Macaca fascicularis: one gene and its partner. The protein of the gene in region 1 interacts with the protein of each later gene in a pairwise test. Links are inferred from orthologs where the notes say so. Each region holds a gene or a part of one and is shown in the gene's direction. Other genes may lie near its edges.

What was found.
Region 2: the proteins of MKRN3 (region 1) and FAM110A interact in binary tests that used the Homo sapiens proteins (3 or more experiments, as listed by UniProt). The two-hybrid records come from large-scale screens. The link is inferred for Macaca fascicularis from reciprocal best matches to the Homo sapiens genes MKRN3 and FAM110A.

The regions. Positions count from the first base shown.
Region 1 is NC_088381.1:5,355,193-5,358,837, reverse strand, and holds the end of MKRN3 (E3 ubiquitin-protein ligase makorin-3), read left to right. Parts: intron 1-632; coding exon 633-731; intron 732-1,028; coding exon 1,029-1,032; coding exon of another isoform or gene 1,033-1,090; 3' UTR 1,091-2,372; coding exon of another isoform or gene 2,373-2,448; 3' UTR 2,449-3,385; downstream 3,386-3,645. UniProt on the Homo sapiens protein: E3 ubiquitin ligase catalyzing the covalent attachment of ubiquitin moieties onto substrate proteins.
Region 2 is NC_088384.1:86,552,310-86,556,742, reverse strand, and holds the start of FAM110A (protein FAM110A), read left to right. Parts: upstream 1-1,568; 5' UTR 1,569-1,805; intron 1,806-4,433.

The DNA.
Region 1 (3,645 bases):
GAACATCCATTTGTATCCTATCATCAACCTCAGCTTTATCCTCATGTCTCAAGATCAAATTTTATCCATTCCTTTCTTTCTTCCATCAGCATGTTCTCTTCACCTCTTAGGGCCATTTTAAAACTAACTCTGTAAGTGTGAAACCGAATATTTCTTTTCATTGTCTTTTCAGATACCAAGTTTTACTCTTTGGAGTCAGAGTTCTGGTTGCTCCTTCAAAGTAGGTGACTCCTGTCTACAAGTGTGCTGATCCTCAGAGTACACATGGGAGAGAGGGAGAGGAAAAATGTGAAAAACCCAGATAAATATTTCAATGTATCATCAAGCCATGTGTCCTTTCTTGGTTCAGCATTGAAATGTACAGAAACATACTTCTTATTTCAGGGACTCCATTTCTATCCCATCTCACCTGAAAAGGTAGCAACTACAATTCTGTGCCATATATTTGCTCCCCTGGAATACTAATTCCCACTTGCTTCACAGACACATCACCAAGTACCAGCAAGATTCCATAATTCCTATGAGTCCATAACGGTAAAGTGCCTCCTTTTCCTTTCCAAATGAGAATTTTCACTATGGTTATTTCTCGCCTCCCCCCTATTGGCTGTTTGAAACATAATTTATCTTTTTAGTTCCTGGGTCCCTGACCTCGACAAACCACAGCAGGACTTGGTGGAGAAGACCGAGTGTAATTCTGAAATCCTGAACTTTGAGCTGGATTCAATACATAGGTGAATTTTGGATTGTCTCCTCTAGGGAGAGTGTGTTCAACATTTAAAAGGAAGGGTAAAGTGGATATTTGATAAACACAAGGGCTAACGTGGCAGAGGGAAATGCTGTGATTGCATCAAACCCTGTTTTCCCTTGGGCACACAGCTGCCCTACATTTACCATCCATAGCTGCAGTTAGTTGTGGTCACGCGACTGAATTCCAGCTAATATAGGTAGAAATAAAGTACTCCACTCCCAAATACAGTTTATAAAAATCTCTGACATAATCCTCCACCCTCTTTTACTTTCTCTGACAGGTGAACGGCATGGATTCTGAGAACCAGGAGGACAGCCAAGTCGTAAAAGGATTGGTGCCCAAGTGAGTCCTTGAATAGCTCATGGAACAGAACTTCTCAGTCTTCACTCCCCATTATCCATACTGAAGTGTACATGGTTAATTAATGTATAACTAAGCCACTGAGATTCGGGAGTTTCTTTGATTGCAGCTGGTGTTTAATTTCTGAATAACTAAGAAGGAATACATTTTTGAGGGCATGGTATTTGATCTGCAACCACCCATGGTTTTAGAGAAGAAGCAACTCATGTGGGAGTATGTGGGAACCAATTATTCCAGTTAGACAAACAACGTACCCAAAGCCCAAAGTCTGGGAGAATGTGTTTAAGAAACAAACACACAACAATGACAAAAAAATAATATACCTGGTTTCTAGTGAATGGAGGGGAGAGTGGTAGGAAATGAAGTTTATAAGAGGAATGTGGAGACCAGATCCCATAGGACTGTATAGACAGTGAAGAAGAGTTCACATTTCATTAAAATTGTGATGGAACCTCATTGGAACATTTTAAGTAGAGAAAATCCATGATCTTACTATGATACACATGTTTTTTTAAAAGATTAATTGAGTTACTCTTTGGAGAAAGAATTTTAAGGATACGGAGAGGATGACAAGGGACCAGTTAGGAGATAATAATCTTCCAGGCAAGACATGTTAGTGACTTAAACAAGATTATTATAATGGAAAGAGGAAAAATTGATACATCCCACTGAAACATTCAATTAATCAGGTCTAAAAATAATACGGACTATACATTCATGTAATAATTATATTAAGATATGTTGTGATTCACTTAAGATGATGGCAAAAATATTAAAGGGGAATATTAGGAAAAGTTATAGGAAATAATCACAAACCTTTTGAAAGGCCAAAAGATTACATAACTTGTCGCAATTGAACAGGCTAAAGGCAGCCGGTTCTTACTTTAGAGCATTAAGTCACAGGGTAAATACTAGGAACAATAGGGGATTCCCCAGTTAAGTGTGTTTACGGTACCTCCATTAACTAATCTTTAAGCCAAATGGCCCTCTGTCGGGGGGGGGGGTGGGGGGAGCGTGGGGGGTCGGGGTACCTGGCGGGGTGGGGGTGGGGGGAATGGGGGGGAGGTCAACCAGAGAAATTGCCCCCTAATGGTATTTACTTTAAACCATGGTACCTAAGCTCGTAAAACTACTCTCTTAACCATGTTAATTATCCTCCAGTGTGTTTACTCAAAGCTTCTGTTGTTAATTGTATACTAAATAAATGCCTGAAGTGCAAGCTGCTCCGGACCAGCAGCAGTGACAAACCTCTCTTGGTGTGCAGGCAGTTGGACACTCAGCTGGACTGGCAAAACAAAATATCTGTATGGAAATGTACATTTTATTCATCCGTCGTTTGAGTCAGGGTGTGCGGGCAAAATTCCGCAGCTAATGCCCTCTGCTAAGACGCCACAGCTCCACCGGGCCCCCGTGTAACGCGCAGAACCACAAAGATACAGTACAATGGTTACGTTAACAAAACATATGGGTCATGAATTCTGTTATGTTCAGGACAGTTATAGACAGTCTGCAGGGAGGCCTAGTTTTAGCTTTTGTAGACTTAGTATCAATGTAGTGAAGCCTGTAAAAGTTGTTCACAGTAGTAAATACAAAAAGCTGTTGTTTGATGTAGTGGCCACTAGATGGCCCGATAAACTCTACTTCACAGACCTTGGAGCTAGAGACAAGTGACTGCAGTTTGTTGCTGAAGACTATATAGTATAAAAAGTCTTTGTTGTTGTTATTGTGAATGGAAAATAATTATCGACATTATACAAATTAAACAGGTTCATATCGAAGAGGCTCTGCTATAGAGTCCTACAAAATGGAATTAAATAAAATTTCTCTGATCTAGAAAAACACTCATTTTAGAATGAAAAATAGTGATATGCATGTGTGCAAAATGTGTAATCTTACTCTCGGGCTTCAGTTTCGTGATTTTAGATCACTTCCCTCTTTTTTGTGAGAAAAGACAGCTCCTAGACACTCATATTTCAAACTGTGTAAATACTGAATAATACAATGAAGAAAAGAGTCTAAAACAAGGACTCGCTGTGCACTGTTCACAGGTTCTTGAACATGTTTTATAAGGTATTCTTTTGCTTACTTATGAACTTGGTTATTTGTGTTTATTTGTTGAATTGTAAGAGTTCTTTGTGTATTTGGGTGCAAGTCCTTTATCAGATACGTGATGTGCAAATATATACTCCAAGGCTGAAGCTTGTCTCTTCATTCCCTCAAGAGTTAATTTCACAGATGGAAAAAACAATTTTAATAAAGTCCAATTTATCAATTTTTTATGGGTTGTGTTTTTTATAGTATCTAAAAATTCATCAACAAACTCAAAGCCATGCAAATTTCTCCCGTTTTCCTCTAAGAGTTTTATCCGTTTGCATTTTATATTTAGTTCTATAATCCACTTTGAGTCACTTTTTGTGTAAGATGTGAGATCTGTGTGAAAGTTCACTTTTTGAATATGGACATCCGATTTTTCCACCATCATTTGTTAAAAAAGTATTCTCTTTTTTTTCTTTTTTATATGGAGTCTTGCTCCATCG
Region 2 (4,433 bases), on another chromosome or scaffold:
GGCCAGGAGTTCTAGACTGGCCTGGGGCAACATAGTGACACCCGTAGCTTGACATGGTGATGCGCGCCTGTAGTCCTAGTTACTCTGGAGGCTGAGGTGGGAGGATTGCTTCAACCTAGGATACAGTGAGCTGTGGTTGCACCACTGCACTCCACCTTGGGCAACAGATCTAGACCCTGTCTCTAAAAAACATAAATAAATCAATATTTAATACTTAGCATTTCCCCCTATCTTTAAATCTCTTTTAGCTACTTCACTTTTATTTTTATTTTTTTGAGATGATCTGTTGCCCAGGTTGGGGTGCAGTGGCATGATCTCAGCTCACTGCATCCCCCACATCCCAGGTTCAATCTATTCTCCTGCCTCATCCTCCCGAGTAGCTGGGATTACAGGCTTGTAGCACCACGCCTGGGTAATTTTTGTATTTTTAGTAGAGACAAGGTTTCACTATGTTGGCCAGGCTGGTCTTCAACTCCTGACTTCAGGTGATTTGATCGCCTCAGCCTCCCAAAGTGCTGGGATTACAGGCGTGAGCCACTGCTCCTGGTGGCTGCTTCATTTTTAATGGCTGCATAATATTCCTCATCAGAAAGTGGGAATAATTAGGCTAGTCGGCGTGGCTCATGCCTGTAATTCTAGAACTTTGGAAGGCTGAGTTGGTAGGATTACTTGAGTCCAGGAGTTTAAGACCAGTCTGGGCAACATGGCAAAACCCTGTCTCTACAAAAAATACAGAAAATACCGGGTGTGGTAGTGCACACCTGTAGTCCCAGCTACTCGGGAGGCTGAGGTGGGAAGATTGCTTGACCCCAGGAGACTGAGGCTGCTGTAAGCTGAGATCCCACCACTGCACTCCAGCCAGGGTGACTCCATCTCAAAAAAAAAAAAAAAGGAAAGAAAAAAAGAAAGTGTTAATAATTAAAAGTACTTTTAGAGGGTTATGTCATAAGCCTTGACAAGAGTTGTTCTGTAAAGCTACCTGGCATGTAAAACGCTCAATTAAGTTAGTTAGCTCTTCCACAGGATGGAATTATATAACCAACCCCTTTCAAGAGGCATTTAAGTTGTTTCCATTATTTTGTCATGATGAATAAGGCTGAGCAATATTAATCTTTGCTCATATCTTTGGTCATTTCCTTTGTAAATTTCAGGACTGCTGGGTGTGCACATTTTAAAATTAACTCACTCATCATCATGCAGTTAGGAGAACAGAGAAAGGAAGGGGCTGTGCGGGGTCACATAGGGAGTTAGCGTCAAAGTCAGGACTAGGAATCAACCAGGGTCCTCTAACTGGAGCTCTTCCAGCTGGTGCCCTAGAGGAAGTCCCAGCTGCAAGCCGGAGGGAGGAGGAAGGGAAAGAACCAGGCGCCGGGTCTGAAGCGGCGGCAGGAAGAAGGTGGGGCCGGTTGGGAGGTGGGGGCGGAGCTGCTGAGCCGCGCCGCTCCTTCAGGCTGCAGAAGCTAAGCGGTCGCCTGGCAACCCCGGCGGCGCGCCGTTCGAACGGAAGCGAGGAACCAATCAGGAAGTCCGGGTCGAACCATTCTGGAGTGAAGGGGGGCGGGGTGCTCACTTCCCCTTTCTCGGCGCTCGAGGGACTTTCCCTGCGGTGGGGGCCTTCGACAGTCAGGGCCACCCGCTCAGCTCGACTGCGGAGGGCAGTTCCGAAGGGGACCCCAAAGGTGCCCACGCGGGGCTGGGGCCTCCTGGGCGCCGTTGGGAGCGGTCACTACCAGCCCGGGTCCGAGCTGTCAGCCTCTCCGAAGACTGCGCGGAAGGAGCCGGGACACGCCTAGGACGAGCTCCAGGTGAGGGCGCGGGTGGTTCCGGGTGCGACCCGGGGTCTGGGGGACTCTGTTCCCCGAGCGCCTGCTGTCTGCTTTCTCCCCGCGTCGTACCTGCGTGTCATTTCACAGATGAGGACTCTGAGGTTCAGAGAGGCAAGTGTCCTGGCTCGGCGAGCTCTGGCAGAGAATCCAGTTCAAGGCTTTCCGCCCTACCTCGCAGCCCCTAGTCTAGTCGTATCTAGACTTGCCTTGAGAGGTACAGACGGGCAACTAGTAGTCATTTTCCCAGCATTTTATCGGCAGGGACACGGCCTATGGACCCCTGGCTGGATCACCTATCCCTGCGCCCCACACTGTCCTCGGGATACCCCTTTTGGGCGTCTTTCTTCTCCGCAGTCCGGGGTTGGACTCGGCTCATTTGGCGCCCTTCTGCCTACTGGGCTCTGAACTCCAGAGCTCCCCCTCTCAGAGGACCACTCTTTAGCCATCGGATGGCACTGACATTTCTGGGCTGGATATAGGGGCAGCAGATTCTCCAGCCCCCAGAGTCGCTGCTGGCCTCTTGGGAATCTTCCCCGGTCTGGGGAAGGGAATAAAGCCAGTCCCTGAACCAAAGCCACTAGTCACCAGAGACTTTGGAATTGGGGGTGGGGCCGGGATTCCCTCAGGAGGAGCATCTGATCTAGGCCAGATCCTGCTCTGTCTCCTGGGGACACCCCTTGCCCCCTAGGTTGCTATTGTCAGTCTCCTTTTGTAGGTGGGGAAACTGAGGTTCTAAGAAGTTAAGCCTCTTGTCGAAGTCCCAGTCAGACAATGCAGTGGTTATTAGCTCCTGGTCCCTCTGGCTTCAATCTTAGAATCCTTGACACCCAGAGTCATGCATTTTGAGAGTCTTGAATCTCTTCATAAGGGAGTTACATATCTCCTCTCCTCTGGAGCCTCCCCCTGGCTTTGGGGACAGGATCTCCGAACACTCAGAAAACAAGCCTTTCCTTTATTCTTTCAACAAATATTATTGACTTCATAAGCCTTGCTCTTGTTCTTGCATGTTTTGTTTTTCTCAGTAGCATTTACTCCACCTTATGTCCTATATATTTTACTTATTAGCAAATTTATCACCTTCTCCCACTGTGATGCAAGGCAGGGGCTGAGGCAATTGAGGTCCTCACCACCAGTGCAAAATTTAGGGATGCCCTGAACCTCAGTAATCAAGATAACTGAAACTAATGTTCATGGACCATTTGTATGTTCTGCAGGCAGGAGGTTAACTCACACAGCCTTCATGAAGCACAGTCCTCCCATCTCATTCTCTCTCTCTCTCTCTATATATATGTGTGTGTGTATGTGTGTGTGTGTATATATATATGCATATTTATAAATCGTGAAACCACTGCCCTGTCCCTGACTTGCTCTGTGACATTGAGTAAGTTTCTTCAGTCTCTGGGCTGAGCTAAGAAGTCATGATGGTGCACTCAGGCCTGGGCAGAGGGCGGTCTAGGATAGGAAGCAGACTTGGTTGTGGATTACAAATACATCCCCCAGACTCAGCTGTCCCACTTCTAAGCAAAATGATGTAGATGCAGTGATGCTGCAGTGTGGTTTGTAGGCAGAAATGAGACACACTCTAAGTGGCCACCAGTAGGGGATGATGGGAAATTCTACTGTGCAGCTGGGAAAAAGGACATGCTCTTTATGTACTGATGTGGCACCAAGAACAAAACATACTATTGAGCAAAAAGAACAAGATGAAAATGGTACACATAGCATCATGACGCCATATGTGTAACAATGGAGACAGAATATATATTCATACTTGCCTGCATCTGCCTAAAGTCTCTCAGGAAGGATAAGCAACTGTCTGGTCACGATGGTGCCTGCAGGGAGGAGAAATGGGGACAGGGTGGGAGGAGGTTGTTGTTGTTTTTTTTTTTTAAACTTCACTATCTTTACCGTTTTTGAATTTTGAGTTGTGTGCATGTATCATCTATTTTAAAAATTTAAAAATTAAGGCCAGGTGCGGTGGCTCACGCCTGTAATCTCAGCACTTTGGGAGGCCAAGGCGGGTGGATCACTTGAGGTCAGGAGTTTCAGACCAGCCTGGCCAACGTGGTGAAACCTCATCTTTACTAAAAAATACAAAAATTAGCCGGATGTGGTGGCACGAGCCTATAATCCCAGCTACTTGGGAGGCTGAGGCAGGAGAATCACTTAAACCTGGGAGGTGGAGGTTGCGGTGATCCCGGTGCACTCCAGCCTGGGTGACAACAGGAAAACTCTGTCTAAAAAATAAAATTACATATATATATGTGTGTGTGTGTGTATGTATGTATGTGTGTGTGTATATATATATATATATATATATATATATATGCATGTTTATAAATCATGAGACCACTGCCCTGTCCCTGACTTGCTCTGTGACACTAAGTTTCTTCAGTCTCTGGGCTGAGCTAAGAAGTCATGATGGTGTACTCAGGCCTGGGCAGAGGGCGGTCTAGGATAGGAAGTGGGCTTGGCTATGGATCTGCCTCCCACTCACCTTTCTAATCCTGCGTGCCAGGTCCTTCCCCAAGACCTTGCATGTGTTATCTCTCTCATTCCGTCCCCACTGCAAAATCCTTTGTCCCCATTTTGCAACCTCAAGTGCAA